Anolis sagrei: one gene and its partners. The protein of the gene in region 1 binds, or shares a complex with, the protein of each later gene. Links are inferred from orthologs where the notes say so. Each region holds a gene or a part of one and is shown on either strand. Other genes may lie near its edges.

Evidence for each region. Proteins that work in one complex are often made in the same cells at the same time.
Region 2: the proteins of DIAPH1 (region 1) and PPFIA3 are in contact, whole or in part, in a crystal structure (PDB 4UWX), measured with the Mus musculus proteins. The link is inferred for Anolis sagrei from reciprocal best matches to the Homo sapiens genes DIAPH1 and PPFIA3. Residues at the interface, in NP_031884.1 of Mus musculus: Lys252, Ser255, Ala256, Ile259, Gln307, Asn310, Ala311, Thr314, Pro315, Ala316, Glu317, Arg322, Gln352, Cys354, Val355, Glu358, Gln359, Glu362; in NP_084017.2 of Mus musculus: Pro719, Arg720, Arg723, Leu724, Arg726, Met727, Ala728, Ala730, Leu731.
Region 3: the proteins of DIAPH1 (region 1) and PFN2 are in contact, whole or in part, in a crystal structure (PDB 2V8F), measured with the Mus musculus proteins. The link is inferred for Anolis sagrei from reciprocal best matches to the Homo sapiens genes DIAPH1 and PFN2. Residues at the interface, in NP_031884.1 of Mus musculus: Ile635, Pro636, Pro637, Pro638, Pro639, Pro640, Leu641; in NP_062283.1 of Mus musculus: Ala2, Gly3, Trp4, Ser6, Tyr7, Asn10, Ala28, Tyr30, Trp32, Arg108, Met131, Tyr134, Leu135, Ser138, Phe140.

What each region holds. Positions count from the first base shown.
Region 1 is NC_090024.1:135,161,824-135,169,238, forward strand, and holds the start of DIAPH1 (protein diaphanous homolog 1), read left to right. Parts: upstream 1-4,369; 5' UTR 4,370-4,579; coding exon 4,580-4,750; intron 4,751-7,415. UniProt on the Homo sapiens protein: Actin nucleation and elongation factor required for the assembly of F-actin structures, such as actin cables and stress fibers. Binds to the barbed end of the actin filament and slows down actin polymerization and depolymerization.
Region 2 is NC_090026.1:28,515,855-28,523,533, forward strand, and holds the start of PPFIA3 (liprin-alpha-3), read right to left. Parts: upstream 3,052-7,679; 5' UTR 2,718-3,051; intron 1-2,717. UniProt on the Homo sapiens protein: May regulate the disassembly of focal adhesions. May localize receptor-like tyrosine phosphatases type 2A at specific sites on the plasma membrane, possibly regulating their interaction with the extracellular environment and their association with substrates.
Region 3 is NC_090023.1:240,960,826-240,967,778, reverse strand, and holds the start of PFN2 (profilin-2), read left to right. Parts: upstream 1-3,902; 5' UTR 3,903-4,263; coding exon 4,264-4,395; intron 4,396-6,953. UniProt on the Homo sapiens protein: Binds to actin and affects the structure of the cytoskeleton. At high concentrations, profilin prevents the polymerization of actin, whereas it enhances it at low concentrations. By binding to PIP2, it inhibits the formation of IP3 and DG.

The sequences.
Region 1 (7,415 bases):
AAAAACAAAGCTTTTGCAGTTTAATGCACTTTTCCCATGTTTTTATGACAGAACCAATTAGAAAATGACATTTATAACCCAGGAACAAAAATTGTGTTACATAGTGTTATTCCTGAGCTTCCCAGGGGAAAATGTTGCCCATTTTGGGAAACGCAGTTCTAGCTTGTTGCCACAGTTTACTCTATTGAGCGGGGGCGGACATATGCATGAGGTTGAATGTATGGTATCTTGCAAAATAGTCCAGTATTAGAAACATCTAGGCTGTTGCCAGTCTTTTGTACAACAACTTTAAAGGCACAATCACATCTTTTCTTTATGTAAGGAGAACTGAGAATGAATTCTGGTTCTGCCAATGTTTGGATGGATCAGCGGCTTCTCGCCATCATAACTATTTCAATGTTTCATGGAGGTTGCTGTCACTTTCACCTGGTAGGGCAAAGAGGAAACATAGTATTGTAAAAGCAGGCCTTTCTCATATTTAGGGAGGCTACCCTCTAGAACAGAGCTGTCCAAGCTTTTCCTGTTGGTGACACACTTTGCATCTTTTCTTGGCTCAGTAATTAAGTTTTGGTAGCAAACCAGATGTTAAACCAACCTCTTAGAAGAGACATGGACACATATATAAATAGTAATAAGGAAATGCATGGGGATACAACATGTCTCATGAAGCTTCCATTTATATCTTTAGAACTAGCCATCCCCTGCCACACGTTGCTGTGGCCCAGTCTATGTATATGTATTTTTTGTGTGTATATATATGTATATGTGTGTGTATATATGTTTGTGTATATATGTGGTTTTGTGCATGTGTTGTAATGCATTTTTTTGCCTTTTAAGTCCTTTCTGCTGTGTTTTTCAGTGTTTTATGAATGATGGCCACTTGTCTTGTGTCCAAATTTGGTGTCAATTCATATTATAGTTTTTGAGTTATGTTAATCCCACAAACAAACATTACATTTTTATATAGATTATATGATTTATATGAGTGGTTTCTCATTACAATCACGCAGCACACTTACATACCGCCTATTTGGAAAACTTTGAGCTAAAAACTAGAAATATTTTTATCTTCTGTAACCAAAGAACAAAACCTCATTCCAACTTAATATTTGGCAAGTGTTAGACTATGACTCCCATCAGCCTAAGTCAGCATTGCCTGATGGAGAAGAATGAGAGGAGCCATAGCTCACTCCAGACCATCTATCTGGAAGGGCCCTCAGTGAGCGAGTCGCCAGCCTCAAAAAGTCAAACAGAAAAATATTTCTAAAATCTTTTTACACATAAGATGAACTAGTGACAAAGTACAAGACCAGCATATACCAACAACTGAGCCCCTTCCACACAGCTGTATAAAATCCACATGTACTGGATTATATGGCAGTGTGGATTTAAGATTTATTTATCATGTCAGGAGCGAACCAAAACAGTTGTATTGGATTAAAAACAAACAAACAAACAAAACACAAAGTTTTCAGACTTGGTATTCTATTAAATGTCCTTTGACCAATAGCTGGCCACTTGGAGTGCATCTGGTGTTGCTGCAAGGAGGTCCTCCATTGTGCATGTGGCAGGGCTCAGGTTGCATTGCAGCACGTGGTCAGTGGTTTGCTCTTCTCCACACTCACATGTCGAGGATTCCACTTTGTAGCCCCATTTCTTAAGGTTGGCTCTGCATCTTTTAGTGCCAGAGCGCAGTCTGTTCAGCACCTTCCAAGTCGCCCAGTTTTCTGTGTGCCCAGGGGGGAGTCTCTCATTTGGTATCAGCCATTGATTGAGGTTCTGGGTTTGAGCCTGCCACTTTTGGACTCTCGCTTGCTGAGGTGTTCCAGCGAGTGTCTCTGTAGATCTTAGAAAATTATTTTTTGATTTAAGTCGTTTGCGTGCTGGCTGATACCCAAACAGGGAGTGGGCCAGAGTTGTCACTGCCTTGATCCTTTTACTATTGGTTGCTACTTCCTGGCAGATGTCAGGTGGTGCAATACTGGTTAAACAGTGTAATTTCTCCAATGGTGTAGGGCGCAGAGACCCTACACCATGATAATGCGGCATGTCTCATTAAGAGTCCCATCCACTGTTTTAGTGTGATGAGATGTGTTCCACACTGGGCATGCATACTCAGCAGCAGAGTAGCATAGCGCAAGGGCAGATGTCTTCACTGTATCTGGTTGTGATCCCCAGGTTGTGCCAGTCAGCTTTTGTATGATATTGTTTCTAGATCTAAGATAATTGAGTTCAAAGCAGATACTGTTAATTATCAGCCTTGATATTCTTGGGCTCTTTCCAGACAGGCCCTCTATCCCAGGATCTGATCCCAGGTTTCCTGCTTTAAACTGGATTATATGAGTCTGCACTGCCAGATAATCTGGGATTAAACAGAAAACCTGGGATCAGATCCTGGGATACAGGGCCTGTCTTGAAATTGCTCAAGAATTTCAAAGCAGATAATCCACTATATCTGCTTATCTAAGGGCCCTTCCACACAGACACATAACCAAAATCTCAAGTCGGATAATTCACAATCTATGGCAGTGTGGACTCAGATAAACCAGTTCAAAGTAGATATTGTGAAAATTTCTGCCTTGATATTGCGTCCCCCCAGGGGTGAGAAAAGCAGTATATAAATGCTGTAAATAAATAAATATTCTGAGTTGTATGGCTGTGTGGAAGGGCTCAAGAGTCCACACTGCTACAGAACCAAGTTCAAAGCACATTTATTTCGCATCAAAAGCATTGCATAAATGTGTATAAAACTGATAAAAATAGAAGGCGCGCAGGCGGCTAAATATCTTTGGACCAAAAATGGGCAACAGCTACGGCATTGTCTGTAGACTCCAACAATTCCTCCTCTGTACATGAGGCAGGGCACAGTGGACAAGCATACAAAGCAAACAACATGTGATTTTATGCAGCTGTGTGGAAGGGCCCTGGGTTGAGAAAAAGCGGGGGATTCCCTGTTGCGAGGACGCCTCTGGATTCCCCGCCTGTCTGTCCGTGTGCTTCAATGGGATTTTGGCCTGCATCAATAGGAGCATAGTGTCTAGATCTAGGGAAGTAATGCTACCCCTCTATTCTGCTTTGGTTAGACCACACCTGGAATATTGTGTCCAATTCTGGGCACCACAATTCAAGAGAGATATTGACAAGCTGGAATGTGTCCAGAGGAGGGCGACTAAAATGATCAAGGGTCTGGAGAACAAGCCCTATGAGGAGCGGCTTAATGAGCTGGGCATGTTTAGCCTGAAGAAGAGAAGGCTGAGAGGAGATATGATAGCCATGCATAAATATGTGAGAGGAAGCCACAGGGAGGAGGGAGCAAGCTTGTTTTCCGCTTCCCTGGAGACTAGGACGCGGAACAATGGCTTCAAACTACAAGAAAGGAGATTCCACCTGAACATGAGGAAGAACTTCCTGACTAATGTATTGTCAAAGGCTTTCATGGCTGGAATCACTAGGTTCTTGTGGGTTTTTTCGGGCTATAGGGCCATGTTCTAGAGGCATTTCTCCTGACGTTTTGCCTGCATCTATGGCAAGCATCCTCAGAGGTAGTGAGGTCTGTTGGAATTAGGACAATGGGTTTATATATCTGTGGAATGGCTGGGGTGTGGCAAGGAGCTCTTCCCTGCTGGAGCTAGGTGTGAATGTTTCAACTGACCACCTTCATTAGCATTTGAAGGCCTGGCTGAGCCTGGGAAAATCCTCTGTTGAGAGGTGTTAAGATGTGCCTGGTTGTTTCCTCTCTGCTGTTTTGCTGTTGTAATTTTAGAGTTTTTTAATACTGGTAGCCAGATTTTGTTCATTTTCATGGCCTCTTCCTTTCTGTTGAAATTGTGTCCAATTCTGGGCACCACAATTCAAGAGAGATATTGACAAGCTGGAATGTGTCCAGAGGAGGGCGACTAAAATGATCAAGGGTCTGGAGAACAAGCCCTATGAGGAGCGGCTTAATGAGCTGGGCATGTTTAGCCTGATTGTGAGAGCCGTTCAGCAGTGGAACTCTCTGCCCCGGAGTGTGGTGGAGGCTCCTTCTTTGGAAGCTTTTAAACAGAGGCTGGATGGCCATCTGTCAAGGGTGATTTGAATGCAATATTCCTGCTTCTTGGCAGGGGGTTGGACTGGATGGCTCATGAGGTCTCTTCCAACTCTTTGATTCTATGATTCAACACTTTGGCCTCCTAGAGAAAACACGCAAGGGACTTGGAAGCTTCCCCAGCGGACTTGAGGAAGGCTCCTCTACAAGTCGTAGCTCTATATCCACAGTGTATCTATCTGTTCCACCGTTGTCGATTCAAGGCGAATCTCCCACTTTTTTTTTTTTTTGCTTCGCGGAGGCGGCTTTGTGGCCGCGCGGCGGTGACGACACGGCGGTGGGCGGGGCCTCTCGAGGCGGGCGTGGATTCCGGCAGTTCAGGCAGGCGAGCGGGCGGGCGCGCGCTGCTGGGCCGGCGCGAGGCAGCTCTGAGGGGGTCTCATTGAAGGCTTTCGGCGGCGCGAGGCGGATGGGCCGCCTCGAGGAGTGAAGGCTCCCCCTCCCTTCCCCGGCGGTGCGCGCGCGCGCTCAGGCCCGGCTTCGAGGGGCGCCATGGAGGGCGGCGGAGGCAGTAGTGGCAGTGGCCGCGGCGGAGGTCCGTCAGCGCGAGGAGCCGGCCGCGAGAAGAAGAAGGGCAAGAGCCCTGAGGAGCCCACAGTGGCGGCGGTTTCGGCGGGAGACCCCAGCGGAGGAGGAGGAGGAGGGGGGAAGTCCCGGAAGTTTGTGAGTGTTGACGAAAGGAGGGGAGGGGGAGGCGCACCTGTCCGGCGGAGGAGAAGGAGGAGGCAGGCAGGCAGGAAGTTTCTTCCCTCAGTGGCCCTTTCCCCCTCCTTCCGGGTCTCCTCCCTTCCCTGTCCTCACACCTCTCTCTTCTCATTCCCTCACCTGGCTCAGGAGTGGCCTCGTGGCCCAGAGGGGCACTTGCTCTTCAAGTGTCAACCCTCGCCCCATAGTTTCTCGTTCTCTCTTTAAGGAGCCTTCTTCCTTCCTCTTTTAGGCAAGCCCTGTGTGTTCTGTTGCCTTCTGTATGGTTTGGAACAGAGGTGGCCCCAAGTCACAGAGTTCACTACTAGTGCTTCATGGGGATGTTTTGTAATTTAGCTCAAAAGTTGGAGCTCTCAGGGCTTGACTCATGAGCCATCACAGCCCTGCTCACTGCTGTGTACCACTGCTTCTTCCAAAGAGGGTCCGCTTTGCTCAGTGTTGGTGCCATGAAAATGTATTTATTTATTTATTTATTTAAAACATTTATATTCCGCCCTTCTCACCCCGAAAGGGACCCAGGACTGACCACAGCATGTAGAATCATAGAGTTGGAAGGGACCTCATGGGCCATCCAGTCCAACCCCCTGCCAAGAAGCAAGAATATTGCATTCAAAGCACCCCTGACAGATGACCATCCAGCCTCTGTTTAAAAGCCTCCAAAGAAGGAGCCTCCACCACACTCAGAGAGTTCCACTGCTGAACGGCTCTTACAGTCAGGAAGTTCTTCCTCATGTTCAGATGGAATCTCCTTTCTTATAGTTTGAAGCCATTGTTCGGTGTCTTAGTCTCCAGGGCAGCTCCCTAGGACTTCCCCTCACATATTATACATGGCTACCATATCTCCTCTCAGCCTTCTCTTCTTCAGGCCAGACATGCCCAGCTTTTTAAGCCGCTCCTCATAGGGCTTGTTCTCCAGAACCTTGATCATTTTAGTCACCCTCCTCTTGACACAGCTTGTCAATACCTTTCTTCAATTGACTATGTGTTCTGTTGCCTTCTGCCATGGTTTGGAACAGAGGTGGCCCCCAGTCACAGAGTTCACTACTAGTGCTTCATGGGGATGTTTTGTAATTTAGCTCAAAAGTTGGAGCTCTCAGGGCTTGACTCATGAGCCATCACAGCCCCCTGCTCACTGCTGTGTACCACTGCTTCTTCCAAAGAGGGGTCCACTTTGCTCAGTGTTGGTGCCATGAAAATTTATTTATTTATTTATTTAAAACATTTATATTCCGCCCTTCTCACCCCAAAGGGGATCCAGGGCTGAGCACAGTATATAGAATCATAGAGTTGGAAGAGACCTCATGGGCCATCCAGTCCAACCCCCTGCCAAGAAGCAAGAATATTGCATTCAAAGCACCCCTGACAGATGGCCATCCAGCCTCTGTTTAAAAGCCTCCAAAGAAGGAGCCTCCACCACACTCCGGGGCAGAGAGTTCCACTGCTGAACGGCGCTCACATTTATTTATTATTTATTTCGGTTTCTTCTACCCCGCCCTTCTCACCCCGAAGGGGACTCAGGGCGGCTTACAAAGGCACAATTCAATGCCAGCATCACATAACAGTAATAAAACAAATAGCATCAATTAACAGTTAAACAACCATTCCTGCATTACAACAATAAAACCAATACAAACCCAATTACTCCTCATTGATGGTCAGCGTTCGCTATCTCATAGTCCAAATTCCATTTCCACATTGTCAATCCTGTCAGTCCTAATCGTCTGCTTGTCCTTATCTAGTTGTCAGATTGCCCAGTCAGGAAGTGCTTCCTGATGTTCAGATGGAATCTTCTTTCTTGTAGTTTGAAGTCATTCCTCCGCGTCCTAGTCTCCAGGGAAGAAGAAAACAAGCTTGCTCCCTCCTCCCTGTGGCTTCCTCTCACATATTTATACATGGCTATCATATCTCCTCTCAGCCTTCTCTTCTTCAGGCTAAACATGCCCAGCTCCTTAAGCCGCTCCTCATAGGGCTTGTTCTCCAGATCCTTGATCATTTTAGTCACCCTCCTCTTGACACATTCCAGCTTGTCAATACCTTTCTTCAATTGACTAGTGGTTCATGGGGATGTTTTGTAATTTAGCTTTAGTTGGAGCTCTCAGGGCTTGACTCATGATCCATCACAGCCCTCCTCACTCCAGTATACCACTGCTTCTTCCAAATGGGGTCCGCTTTGCTCAGTGTTGGTGCCATGAAATTTATTTATTTTATTTGAAACATTTATATTCTGCCCTTCTCACCCCGAAGGGGACTCAGGACGGAGCACAGCGTATATAAGGCAAACATTCAATGCCAGAACAAGAATTCATATACATAAACATTAAAAACATTAATCAAAATCTATATAAATAAAAATGTAATGTTCGTTTGTGGGATTAACATAACTCAAAAACCGCTGGGCGAATTGACACCAAATTTGGACACAAGACACGTATCAGGCCAATGTGTGACCATCACTCATAAAATCACTGAAAAACATACATATATACACATATACACAAATGTATACACACACAAAGCAACAATCAGGCCAACAAGTGACCATCATAGAATCAAAGAGTTGGAAGAGACCTCATGGGCCATCCAGTCCAACCCCCTGCCAAGAAGCAAGAATATTGCATTCAAA
Region 2 (7,679 bases), on another chromosome or scaffold:
TGGAAAAGATCTTGGAGTCCTCGTGGACAGCAAGTTAAACATGAGCCAACCATGTCATGTGGTGGGGGGGAAAGCCAATGGGATTATAGCCTGCATAAATAGGAGTCTAGTGTCTAAATCCAGGGATGTCATGCTACCCCTCTATTCTGCCTTGGTCAGACCACACCTGGAATATTGTGTCCAATTAGAAGGCTGAGAGGAGATATGATAGCCATGTATAAATATGTGAGAGGAAGCCACAGGGAGGAGGGAGCAAGCTTGTTTTCTGCTTCCTTAGAGACTAGGACGCGGAACAATGGCTTCAAACTACAAGAGAGGAGATTCCATCTGAACATTAGGAAGAACTTCCTGACTGTGAGAGCCGTTCAGCAGTGGAACTCTCTGCCCCGGAGTGTGGTGGAGGCTCCTTCTTTGGAAGCTTTTAAGCAGAGGCTGGATGGCCATCTGTCAGGGGTGATTTGAATGCAATATTCCTGCTTCTTGGCAGGGGGTTGGACTGGATGGCCCATGAGGTCTCTTCCAACTCTTTGATTCTATGATTCTATGATTCTATGAATTCTGAACACCACAATTTAAGGGAGATGTTGACAAGATGGAATGTGTCCAGAGGAGAGTGACGAAGATGATCAACGGTCTGGAGAACAAGCCCTATGAGGAGTGGCTTAAAGAGCTGGCCATGTTTAGCCTGCAGAAGAGAAGGCTGAGAGGAGGCATGATGACCATGTATAAATATATGAGGGGAAGTCACAGGGAGGAGGGAGCAAGCCTGTGTTCTGCTGCCCCAGGGACTAGGGTATTGAACTACAGGAAAGGAGATTCCACCTAGACATTAGGAAGAACTTCCTGATTGTGAGACAGAGCTGTTCAGCAGTGGAACTCTCTGCCTCGGAATGTGGTGGAGGGAAGCTCCTTCTTTGGAGGCTTTTAAAGAGAGGCTGGATGGCCATCTGTTGGGGATGCTTTGAATGAAATTTTCCTGCTTCTTGGCTGAAGGGTTGGATTGGATGGCCCACGAGGTCTCTTCCAACTCTATGATTCCATGAAAAGCAGTATACAAGCGAAGTAAATAAATAAAGAGAAGGTTCCAGGAGAAGAAGGAAGGAAAGGTATAAGAGCAAGCTAGAGGATGCCTGCTTGCTTTGGTTGATTGGTTGGTTGGGTGGCATCAGAGGGGGTTTGTGGTGGGAAAAGAGGGTTGAGATGGCGGAGATGGCATGGAAAGTGTCCTGGGTGCTGTGAGGAAGAGTAAGGAGAGGAAGAAGGAAGCTCTAAGGGCCCTTCCACACAAGGCAGAAAATCCCATGTTATCTGAGTGTGAACTCAGAAAACCCAGTTCATAGCAGATATTGTGGACTGTGTGGAAGGGCCCTGAGTCTACAATCAGATAATGTGGGATTTTCTGTCTGGATATTCTGGGATGTGTGGAAGGGGCCTGAGTCTACATTCAGATAATGTGGGATTTTCTGCCATCATATTCTGGGATATAGGGATGTGTGGAAGGGGCCTGAGTCCACACTTAGATCATGTGGGGTTTTCTGCTTTGGTATTCTGGGATATAGGGCTGTATGGATGGGCCCTGAGTCCACACTCAGATATTGTGGGGTTTCCTGCCTTAATATTCTGGGAAATAGGGATGTGAGGAATGGCACTGAGTCCACACTCAGATAATGTTGGGTTTGCTGCCACAATATTCTGAGATATAGGGTTGTATGGAAGGGCCCTGAGTCCACACTCAGAACACGTGGGGTTTCCTGCCACAATATTCTGAGATATAGGGCTGTGTGGAAGGGCCTGAGTCCACACTCAGGTATTGTGGGGTTTCCTGCCTTAATATTCTGAGATATAGGGCTGTGTGGGAGGGCCTTGAGTCCACACTCAGATAATGTGGGGTTTCCTGCCACAAGGGGGGCGGGGGGGGGAGGCTGGTCCCAAGGCTGATATAGGGCTGTGTGAAAGGAGCCTGAGTCCACACTCAATGTGGGGTTTTCTGCCTTGGTATTCTGGGATATAGGGCTGTGTGGAAGGGCCCTGAGTCCACACTCAGATATTGTGGGGTTTCTTGCCTTAATATTCTGGGAAATAGGGATGTGAGGAAAGGCACCGAGTCCACACTCAGATAATGTGGGGTTTCCTTCCACAATATTCTGAGATACAGGGCTGTGTGGAAGTGGCCTTGGTCCACACTCAAATAATGTGGGGTTTTCTGCTTTGACATTCTGAGATATAGGGCTGTGTGGAAGGGGCCTGGGTCCACACTCAGATAATGTGGGGTTTCCTGCCTTGAGATTCTGGGATAGAGGGCTGTGTGGCAGGGCCCTTTGGTGCCTTGGGGAGACAGAAGGAGCGGGCTGTGTGCGGGGGGAGAAGGGCTTGGGGTCCAAGATGAGTCTGTGGGCATGCAAGGCTTTGGCAGAAGGCGAGGAGGCTGGATGCTGAATGCGTGAGGAAGGTGTGGGTCCTGATCAGAGGATGCGGGAGGCGCCAAGGGAGGGAGAAGGCCATCGGAGATGCAGGCAAGGCTGCAGAGGAGACACTGTGTCATGGATTGCATTTTGGGGAGAAGATGGGGGAGACAGAATAGGGGGGGGGGAGGAGGGAGGCTGGTCCCAAGGCTGAGCATCCTGGGATGCTCAGGAATGGAAGAGGGGTGCCTTTGGGGGAGGAAAGGCTCCCGGGAGATGCGGTCTTCCTTCCCAAGGGCCGGCCGGGCTCCTTACCTGTCTTTGCAGCAGGCGGGGGAGGCGATGCAGGCGGCGGCGGCGGTGCTGCTGCGGGAGGGATGCGGGAGGGCGCCTCCTCCGCGGCCGGCCTTCACGGGTCCCCGGCGCCCATCCCCGGCATCCCTCCCTCCCTCCCGCCCTCCCTCCAGCCGGCCGGTCGGTCGGCCACCGCCTGGCAGCCCCCCTCCGAGGCAGACCCAGCCAGCGAGAAGAGGAGGAGGAGGAGGAGGAGGAGGAGGAGGAGGAGAAGCAGGAGCCCAAGCCCGCCCCTTGGCTCGGCGCAAAGCTCGCGGCGCGCCTGCCCCTTTAAGGGAGCCTTGACTGACCGGCCCTCTGGCCACTCCGCGCCCGGGAAGCTCGGGGACAACCCTTGAGGCACCGCCCCTCGGTGGGTAAGGGCGGGGGGAGGCGGGCTGCGAGTGGCACGGCGGCCAAGCCAATGAATGGGGAGGCGGGTGGGCGGAGGGGAGGGGGCCGCGGGGAGCCAATGGGGGAAGCCTGGGGGCGGGGCCGAGTTTTAGGATGATGTCATGCGGTGGTCCTTTCGGAAAAAGGAGGGGGAAGAGAGGAAGAAGGGGAGGAAAAGGAGGAAAGAGGTGGAGGGGGGGGGGAGGAGGAGAGAAAGGAATCAGATGCATCGCAGGTAAAAACGGGGTGAGGGGAGGGAGGGGAGGCAGGCAAAGGGGGGGAAAAGGGCATGACACCCATGAAACATGGATGCTACTACTGTCCGGTGGAGAAAAGAAGGAGACGCTGCAGCAAAGGGCGGAAAAATGCACCAAAATGCGGAAAGGGAAGGGAAAGGACATGCCACAGATATAGAAACCCCACGTTTCTAGTTTCCAGCAGACCTCACAACCTCTGAGAATGCCTGCTATAGATGTGGGTGAAACGTCAGGAGAGAATGCTTCTGGAACATGGTCACACAGCCCGGAAAACTCACAGCAACCCCGTGATTCCGGCCATGAAAGCCTTCGTTGGAGCAGAGGAAGGCACCGATTCCTGCAGTGTATTGGGGGTGGCCTCTAAAGCAGGGGCCACATGGAGAGAAGGCTTGAATGGGGCCGTTGGAAATGCAGCAAGCAGGGATGGGGAGGGGAGGAAAGAAAGAATGAAGGACCCAAAAGCAAAGCCAGCTCGCCTCCCCAAATGCTCAACTCCAGCAAAAGGATTGGGTGAAAGGGATAGAAAAGGGAAGGAAGGACCCAAAAGCAAAGCAAGCTTGCCTCCCCAAATGCACAACACCACCAAAAGGATGGGGTTAAAAAAAGGGAAGGGAAGGAAGGACCCAAAAGGAAAGCCAACACCCCCCCCCCCCAAATGCACAACTCTATCAAAAGGATGGGGTGAAAGGGATAGAAAAGGGAGGGAGGGAGGACCCAAAAGCAAGCTCCTCTCCCCAAATGCACAACTCCAGCAAAAGGATGGGGTTAAAAAAGGGAATTGACAGGAAGAACCCAAAAGGAAAGACAGCTCTTTTCTCCAAATGCACAACTCCAGCAAAAGGATAGGGTGAAAAGGATAGAGAAGGGAAGGAAGGAAGGAAGGAAGGAAGGAAGGAAGGAAGGAAGGAAGGAAGGAAGGAAGGGAGGAAGGGGACTCAAAAGCAAAGCAAGCTTGCCTCCCCAAATGTACAGCTCTAGCAAAAGGATGGGGTTAAAGGAAGGGATGGGAAGGGAAGGAAGGACCCAAAAGCAAGCTCCTCTCCCCAAATGCAGAACTCCAGCAAAAGGATGGGGTTAAAAGAAGGGAAGGGACAGGAAGGAATGACCCAAAAGGAAAGCCAGCTCTTCTCCCCAAATGCACAACTCCAGCAAAAGGATGGGGTTAAAGGGATAAGAAAGGAAGGGAGGGAGGACCCAAAAGCAAAGCAAGCTTTCCTTCCCAAATGCACAACTCTAGCAAAAAGATGGAGTTGAAGGAAGGGATGGGAAGGGAAGGAAGGACCCAAAAGCAAGCTCCTCTCCCAAATGCACAACTCCAGCAAAAGGATGGGGTGAAAAGAAGGGAAGGGAAGGACCCAAATGGAAAGCCAGCTCCTGTCCCCAAATGCACAATTCTAGCAAAAGGATGGGATTAAATGAAGGGAAGGAAGGGAAGACCCAAAAGCAAGTTCCTCTCCCCAAATGCACAACTCCAGCAGAAGGATGGGGTTAAAGGGATAGGGAATGGAAGGGAAGGATGGAAGGACCCAAAAGCAAGCTCCCCTCCCCAAATACACAACTCCGGCAAAAGGATGGGGTTAAAGGAAGGGAAGGAAGGACCCAAAAGCAAAGCCACCCCCCCCCCCCCCCGCCCAATGCACAACTCTAGCAAAAGGATGGGGTTAAAAGAAGGAAAGGAAGGACCAAAAGCAAGCTCCTCTCCCCAAATGCACAACTCTAGCAAAAGGATGGGGTTAAAGGAAGAGAAGGGACCCAAAAGCAAGTTCCTCTTCTCAAATGCACAACTCCAGCAGAAGGATGGGGTTAAAAGAAGGGAAGGGACAGGAAGGAAGGACCCAAAAGGAAGCACAGCTCCCCTCCCCAAATGCACAACTCCAGCAAACGGATGGGGTGAAAGGGATAGAGAAGGGAAGGCTGGAAGGACCCAAAAGCAAGCTTTCCTCCCTAAATGCACAACTCCAGCAAAAGGACGAGGTTAAAGGGATAGGGAATGGAAGGGAAGGATGCAAGGACCCAAAAGCAAGCTCCCCTCCCCAAATGCACAACTCCAGCAAAAGGATGGGGTTAAAGGAAGGGAAGGAAGGACTCAAAAGCAACCCCCCCCCCCAATGCACAAGTCTAGCAAAAGAATGAGGTTAAAAGAAGGAAAAGAAAGGGAAGAAAAGACCTAAAAGCAAACTCCTCTCCCCAAATGCACAACTCCAGCAGAAGGATGGGCTAAAGGAAGGGAAGGGAAGGACCCAAAAGCAAAGCCACCCCCCCCCCCAATGCACATCTCCAAGCGAAAGGATGGGGTTAAAGGAAAGGAGGGAAATGCACCAGCCCATGCAACCTAAGGGAGAAAGCCACCAAGGAGAGGCAGCAGCTCTGTTGAACTCAGAAGCCATACATAGGTAAACCTCCAAAGAGCCTGGTCAAAAAAGGAAGGGAGTGTGGCACATCCCTACAACCACGTGCTCCAGAGAAATGCACCAATTTGCACAAGTCAGTGGTTGCAAAATAAATAAATAAATAAACCCATTGCATCCCTCTATTAAACTCATCTGTGCAAAAAGGACACATGAAGCAATGCCCTGCGAGGGAAGGAGAGGCCCCTTCCTTTCCTGGAACCTGCCAGTTTCAGGAAAACCCAGGAAATCTGTCACGAGCCACAGTAGGAGACAAGGCGAGAAGTCGAAAAATAAAAATCAATGCGTGGAGGTAAAGAACTGCCAATCGATGCAAGAGAGAGGATCCGAAGGGAGAAGGGAGAGAGCCATGCATCATGAAGGAAGAAGGGCCTTTCCAGATGGCATTGCATTGGATTGGGAAAGGGAGGGGGGAATCTGGTCACACGTTTTATTCTGGGCACTGTAGAAATGTTAGCTCTGAATCAACACAGCAGCAATATCTTCTGCCCTCGTGGAAAGGAACACAGGGTGAAAAATTGGGACAGGTGTGCACATTGCGGCTGGGAAACACAGAAACACCCCCCCCCCCCCAAATAGAAAAACGGGCCATGAGTTGCCAGGGCAATATGACTTGAGAAATACACTGTCTCAGGCCCCTTGTTCACAGATGTATAAAATCCAGATTATCTGCTTTGAGCTGGATTATCTGGCAGTGTAGAGTCAGATTTTTTTGTTTCAGGAGCAACTTGAGCCCCCAATAGTGCATCAGGTTAAACCACTGAGCTGCTGAACTTGCTGACCAAAAGGTCAATGGTTCAAATCCAGGGAGCAGGGTGGGCAGTTCAAAAACATGCAAATGTGGGAAGATGAGTAGGTGGATAGGTACCGCTTTGGTCATGCCAACCACATGACCTTGGAGGTGTCTATGGACAATGCCGGCTTCAGCTTAGAAATGGAGATGAGCACCACCCCCCAGAGTCAGACACGAGTGGATTTAATGTCAGGGAAAACCTTAATCTTAGCGACTTGAGAAACTGCAAGTCATTTCTGGTGTGAGAGAATTGGCCGTCTGCAAGGACATTGCCCAGGGGTTTGATGTTTTATGTTTTACCATCCTTGTGGGAGGCTTCTCTCATGTCCCTGCATGGGGAGCTGCAGCTGACAGAGGGAGCTCATCTGCACTCTCCCGGATTTGAACCTCCAACCTGTCAGTCTTCAGTCCTGCCAGCACAAGGGTTTAACTCATTGCACCACCGGGGGATCCTAGACTCAGATAATCCAGTTCAAAGCAGATCATCCACATTATCTGTATTGATATTCTGGATTATATGGCAGTGTAGAAGGGCTCTCAATCTCATAGGGAGGTACAGGCATTTCTAATAGCAAGACATGAAGAGTAAAGACAAAGATCCAGAGGAAAGGTGTTCTTACCATACATCAAGGAAACAACTGACAGCATAAGGAAGCAGAGGAATTCCTGACAATAATCAATAAGGACCAGCTAACACCTCCAAACAAAGGATTCTCCCAGGCATCAATCAGCCAGGTTTTGAAGCTGCAAGGCCATTAAATGCTAATCAAGCTGGCCAATTGCAACATTCACACTTGCCTCAAGCAGACAAGAGTTCTTTCTCCCAGCCTGGACATTATTCCACAGATATATAAACCTCACTGGCCTAGTTTCCAGCAGACTCCTCAACCCTTTGAGAATGCCTGCCATAGATGTGGGTGAAATGTCAGGAGAGAAGGCTTCTGGAACATGGCCATACAACCCGGAAAACTCACAGCATCCCATTTCTAGCTGTACACTGCCCTCTTGTGGTTGCATACAGAGATACTTTTTTATTCATTTTTTGGGGGTCCCACCATAAAAGTGGTGAGTTTTTTAAGTTGAAACCTAAACA
Region 3 (6,953 bases), on another chromosome or scaffold:
TGCCCTCAAGTCAACTCTGACTTTCAGCAACCCTATCTTTCTTGGCACGATTTCTGCAGAAGAGATTTCCCATTGCCTTCCTCCACAACTGACCGAGAATATGAACCCTGGTTTCCCAAAATCCTAGGCCAATATTCAGGCCACAATGGTCCTTCTGAATTCCTTAGATGTATAATCCTATACTTCCCTGCCAAAGAAAGTGACTTTCCAGGTAAGCCTACTGTTTGTTTATATGATCAGCATATGCAAAATAAATAGAAACATCTGTCACAGGCTCAGAACTAGAAACAAGCATCCCTACTGCACTGCATCCTAAACACTATATCAGGTATGGGCAAACTTGGCCCCTCGCTCCAGGTGTTTTGGACTTCAACACCCACAATTCCTAACAGCCGGTAGGCTGTTAGGAATTGTGAGAGTTGAAGTCCAAAACACCTGGAGGGAGGGGCCAAATTTGCCCATACCTGCACTATATTCAGTAAGTTGGAATTCAAAGCAGACGTGCTCCCAAGTATTTCAACATCCACACGAACCATGTTAAATCATCATCATTAATTAGGAACTGGATTAAGAAGTCCAACTGCAAAGAAATCAACAAGTGAAGCCCTTTTTTGTCACTGCATTGGTATTCTCAGGAAAAGCTGCAAATGCAGAAGGTTGCTGGTTTATTTTGCAGCAGGGGGTTCTCAAGCACCGAAATATAGGCACCAGATTTCCTAATCCAACAGAAACTGACTCTTCACTGTAGAATGAATACAGTTTGGCACCACTTTATCTGTCCTGGTTCAATGTTAGGGAATCCTGTGAGTTATCACTTGTCTTTGGCAAAGAAGGATAAAGACCTTGACAAATAGTGTATCTCAATCTGGGGGTCGAGGGGGGGCTTTAGAGGGGTCACCAAAGACCATCAGAAAACACATATTTCTGATGGTCTCAGGATCCCCTTTGGCACAGAAGGCTGAAGATCTCTCTGTCTGTCCTTCTCTTCCTTTTTGGAAACAGATAGCAAATCCTCCCACCAAAAGCCCTCCTCCTATTCTCTGGATGTTGGTGAACAAACACTCCACAATTCAAGGTCCATACTCACAAAATCTTTCCAGTATTTTCTGTTGTAGGTGAACCACAACTCCAAAACTCAAGGTCAATGCCCATCAAATCCTTCCAGTGTTTTCTGTTGGTCATGGGAGTTCTGTGTGCCAAGTTTAGTTCAATTCCATCGTTGGTGGAGTTCAGAATGCTCTTTGCTTGTAGGTGAACTATAAATCCAGCAACTATAATTACCAAATGTCAAGGTCTGTATTCCCCAAACTCCACTAGTGTTTACATTTGGGCATATTGAGTATTCATGCCAAGTTTGGTCCAGATCCATCATTGTTTGAGTCCACAATGCACTCTGGATGTAGATGAACAACAACTCCAAAACTAAAGATCAATGCCCACCAAACCCTTCCAGTATTTTCTGTTGGTTATGGGAGTTCTGTGTGCCAAGTTTGGTTCAATTTCATAGTTGGTGGAGTTCAGAATGCTCTTTGCTTGTAGGTGAACTGTAAATCCTAGGAATTACAACTCCCAAATAACAAAATCAATCGCTCCCCAACCCCACCAGTATTCAAATTTGGGCGTATCACGTATTTGTGCCAAATGTGGTCCTGTGAATTAAAATACATCCTGTATTTGATATTTATATTACAATTCATAAGAGTAATAAAATGACATGAAGTAGCAATTTAATGGTGGTGGGGGGGGGGGGGGTCACCACAACATGAGAAACTGTACTAAGGGGTCATGGCATGAGGAAGGTTGAGAAACACTGCCTTAGAAGCATTCTCTCCTGACGTTTTGCCTGCATCTATGGCAAGCATCCTCATTTAAATTTAAAATAAATATTTAAGATCTTTTGCTGTGTTTTTAGCTATGAAACAGGTTCAAGCTTCTTAAATTTCATTTACAGTACTTTTTTTGGACTTCTCAACCTCTGAGGATGCTTGCCACAGATGCAGGCGAAACGTCAGGAGAGAATGCTTCTAGAACATGGCCATATAGCCCAAAAAACCTACAACAACCCAGTGATTCCAGCCATGAAAGCCTTCGACAATACACTTGCCTTAGAAGCTAGAAGTGTCTTAATGAATACAGAGCAACAGCCACATTGGGATGGCTGCAGCAATTAAGAAGGCTGAGAACATTCCTAATTAACAGCATTGAGCCAGGGAAGTGAAAGTGGGGCCAAATTGGTTATTGATTGTGATATATATTGATTGTTTTAATTGTTATAACTGTTTAACTGCTGTTTTTATGCATTTTTGTAGTATCGTGTAGGCATCAAATTGTGCCTGTTTGTAAGCCGCCCTGAGTCCCCCCTCGGGGGTTGAGAAGGGCGGGGTAGAAGTACACGAAATAAATAAATAATAAATAAATAAATAAACTGCATCCAGGCTCCAATGTGGCAGCATCCAGGGAAGTACAGTAAAAGTGACCCAGGTTAAAAAAAAGGAACCTTACCTAAAATTCTGGATAACGCTTGATGGAGACAAGGAGCCATAAGTCCTTCCTGAGAAAATAAGACTGGCACGCCTTGGGAGTAAGTCCAAAACACCTGGAGGGAGGAGGGCCCAAGTTTGCCCATACCTGCACTATGTTCAGGAAGTTGGAATTCAAAGCAGAGGCAGATTCCCAAGTATTTCGAGATCCACACTAAACCATCATCATTAAGTAAGAAGTGGGTGAAGAGGTCCAACTGCAAAGAGCCCACCAGCAGGTGCACAGAGAGAGAGAGAGAGAAAGAGAGAGAGAGAAAGAGAGAGAGAAAGAGAGAGGTGGGGGAGAGAGAGAGAGAGAAAGAAAGAGAGAGAGAAAGAAAGAGAGAGAGAGAGAGAGAGAATCATAGAAACAAAGAGTTGGAAGAGACCTCGTGGGCCATCCAGTCCAACCCCCTGCCAAGAAGCAGGAATATTGCATTCAAATCACCCCTGACAGATGGCCATCCAGCCTCTGTTTAAAAGCTTCCAAAGAAGGAGCCTCCACCACACTCCGGGGCAGAGAGTTCCACTGTTGAACGGCTCTCACAGTCAGGAAGTTCTTCCTCATGTTCAGATGGACTCTCCTTTCTTGTAGTTTGAAGCCATTGTATCATTGCGTCCTAGTCTCCAGGGAAGCAGAAAACAAGCTTGCTCCCTCCTCCCTGTGGCTTCCTCTCACATATTTATACAGAGAGAGAGAGAGAAAGAGAGAGAGAGAGAGAGAGAGAGAGAGAAAGAAGGAGAGAAAGAGAGAGAGAAAGAGAGAGAGAGAAAGAAAGAAGGAGAGAGAGGGAGAGAGAAAGAGAGAGGGGGAGAGAGAAAGAGAGAGAGACCCAGCTTTCATCTGTTCTCGCCCCCCATCCCAATTGCACAAGGGCATGCTGTGCAGCTGTCAAGACGCTTCACCCTCTCCCGGGCAGCTAGCTCACAAGTGCTAAGAGGCAGGCAGCAAAGGGGAGAGAGAGAGAAAAGAGGGGGAAAGGAAGAAGAGGAGGAGGAGGAGGAGAAAGAAGGAGCTGGTGCGCAGAAGTCCCCTTACTCAGAAGGAAGAACGAGGTGTGCGCGCGCACATCCCTCCTCCCTCCCTCCCTCCCTCACAGGCGCGCGCACAAACACACACCTCTCTTGCTCTCTTTCGCTCGCGCGCGCGCCAGGCACCAGCACTGAGCGCGCGCGCGTACACACAGAAGGTATCCCTCCGCCCATAAGGCCTTGCTTGAAGAAGCAGGATTACGCTATATAGACTGAGAAGGGAATAGAGTAGCAAAGCAACAGCAGCAGTAGCAGTAGCAGCAGTGGCGGAGGGATTCTTATAACCAAAGTGAAGAGGCCTCCGCGGCGGCAAGCCTTTGCTTCTCTTCACTCTCTCTCTTCTCGAGCGCGCGCTCGACGCCGCCGCCGCCTCGAGCCTCGCCTGCCCTGAGGAAAGAAGAAGAAGAAGAAGGGGAGAAAAGGCCGTTGGAGAGAGAGAGAGAGGGAAAGGAAGCGAAGGAAAGGAAAGGAGGGAGGGCGGCCATTCGCGCCGCAAACGCCTCAGGTGGACCCACCCCCTCGGTCCCCTCCCCCGAGCGACCGCCTTGCCCGCCCGCCTGCCTGCCTTTTCTGCCCTGCTCTGCTCCCTCCCTCCTTCCTTCTTTCCCCGCCGAGGCCCATTGGCTTCCTTCCTCTCCTTCCTTTCCTCCCCCCGCCCCCCTTCCTCTCTCTCTCTCTCTGTCTCTCCCTCTGTCTCTTCACCGGGCCGAAGATGGCAGGCTGGCAGAGCTACGTGGATAACCTGATGTGCGATGGCTGCTGCCAGGAGGCCGCCATTGTCGGCTACTGTGACGCCAAGTACGTCTGGGCCGCCACGGCCGGCGGCATCTTCCAGAGCATTACGGTAAGGAGAAGGAGAAGGAGGGGGAGGGAGGGAGGGAGGAGAGGGAAGGAAGCCATGGGGGGGGGGGGGGAGAAGGAAGGGGGTGGGGAGGAGATCTCCAGAGAGAGAGGGGAGGGAAGGAGACCACGACCCCCGGAGGAGGAGGAGGAAAAGGAGGCCCCGAAGGGCTTGAGCAGAGAAGGCGCCTTCATCTCATGGGAAAAGGAGGGGGGGGGGGGAGGAAATTGCCTCCTCTTCTTCACCTTAGTACTAATAATAATAATGTTTCCCACCCCTCATCTTCACCTTAGTAATATAATAATAATGTCTCTTCCCTCTTCTTCACCTTAGTAGTAATAATGTCTCCCACCCCTCTTCTTCTTCACCTTAGTAATGTAATAATAATGTCTCTTCCCCCTCTTCCTCACCTTAGTAATAATAATAATGTCTCCCGCCCCTCCTCCTCTTCTTCTTTTTCTTCACCTTAGTAATATAATAATAATGTTTCTTCCCCCCCTCTTCTTCACCTTAGTAATAATAATGTCTCCCACCCCTCTTCTTCTTCACCTTAGTAATATAATAATGTCTCTTCTCTTCTTTACCTTAGTAATAATAATAATGTCTCCCGCCCCTCTTCTTCACCAGAGTAATATAATAATAATGTCTCTTCCCTTCTCTTTTTTTACCTTAGTAATAATAATAATAATAATAATGTCTCCCACCCCTCTTCTTCTTCACCTTAGTAATATAATAATGTCTCTTCCCTTCTCTTATTCACCTTAGTAGTAATAATAATAATGTCTTCCTCCCTCATCTCCACCTTAGTAATATAATAATTTCTCTTCCCCTCTCTTCTTCACCTTAGTAATATAATAATAATAGTAATACAGCCTCTCTTCTCCCCTCTTCTTCACCTCTCTTTTCCTCACCTTAGTAATAAGAATTATTATTATACTTTCTCTCTTCCCCTTCTTCACATTCCTCCTTTATCTTAGTAATAATATTCTTATTTACCTCCCCCTCTTCTTCACCTTAGTAATAAGAAGTATTATTATCCTTTCTCTCTTCCCCTTGTTCTTCTTCTTCACAATAATATCAAATGTTTTCTCTCTTCCCTTCTTCACATCCCTCCTCTATCTTCGTAATATTCTTCTTCACCTCCCCCCTCTTCTTCGCCTTAGTAATAAGAATTATTATTATTATACTTTCTCTCTTCCCCCTCTTCTTCATCTACCTCTTCTTCTTCACAATAATAACATAATGCTTTCTCTCTTCCCCCTCTTCTTCTTCTTCTTCACATCCCTTCTCTTTTTCCTAACAATAATGCTTTCTCTCTTCCCTTCTTCACCTCCCTTCTCTTCCTCTTACTAATAATAATGCTTTCTCTCTTCCCCCTCCTTCTTCAGCCCTCCTCCTCTTCCTCACCTTAGTAATAATAACAATAATAATTCTTGATCTCTTTTCCCCTCCTCTTCTTCTTCACACCCCTTCTCTTCTTTTTCATCTTAGTAATAATAATGATGATGATGCCTTCTCTCACCTCCCTCCTCTTCTTCATCTTAGTGCTAATATTGTACACAACATAGTTTTTTTTAAAAAAAAATCCATAAAATACATTAATCAGAATGCATTTCTTATGAATTGCCACCTATTAAAATGCTCAGGATTCAAAAGATCCAAATGCAGCAGGCACAGGACGTGACTTTAAAAGCCATAGTTAAAGCACTGGCTGCTGGCTCCACGCGTGGAAAAGGCGCGTTTTTTTCACACTCCCCCCCTCCTCTCCCCGGTGTGATTCTTCCCCCAGGGCTGGTGGCTTTTCCTGAGAGGCGTGTATGTTTGAGTGTGTGTGTATGTGTCTCGGTGGGCTTCTCAGATGCTTAGAGGAGATGGCAGAAAAGGCCCAGCTTGGGGGTGGGGGGGGGGGGAAGGTGTCAATGGCAAGCGAGCCCCTTCCTTCCTTCCTTCCTTCCTTCCTTGCCTCCCCTCCTCCCGTTCTTCCTCGGCCCTCCTGCGCTAGAGAGGCCTGTCCATTGCGCCTGGGGATGTGGGGTGGGCTCCCTTCCCTTTATCCAGAGCTGCTGCCCCCTCCTTCCCTCCCTCCCTTTAACAGAAGGATGAAAGGCCCTTTTCCCTGGAGGCGGGGCAAGGAAGGAGGCTCGCGTTTTGGGCCTTGGGTGTTCCCCGGGCTCCCTCCTCGGCCCCGGGTCAGCCCCCGGTGGGGAGAGGATCCTCGGGGACCCATTTTGTGCTCGGGGAGGCTGGGGCGGTTGAATGGCCAGCGCCGGTTGAAGCGAAGCCGGCAAATCTGGGGGAAGGCCGGGCCGGGCTGGGCGGAGGCAGAGGCGGGCTCGGGGGCGATCATCTTGGCGCGGCTGGGCGTAGGGTTCCCTCCTCCCCGGCCCGCGTTGCTGGGGAGGGACCTGCGGGTCCCCGCGGAGGAGGCTTTTGTGAATCCGTTCCCCGCTACCGGCTCCATGTTTTTTGCCTCCAAGATGGCGCACTGCCGCTGATTTTTTTAACCCCTCCTTTCCTCCCTCTCTCTCCTCTCCCGAGATATTAATCACCCCTCTTCTTCC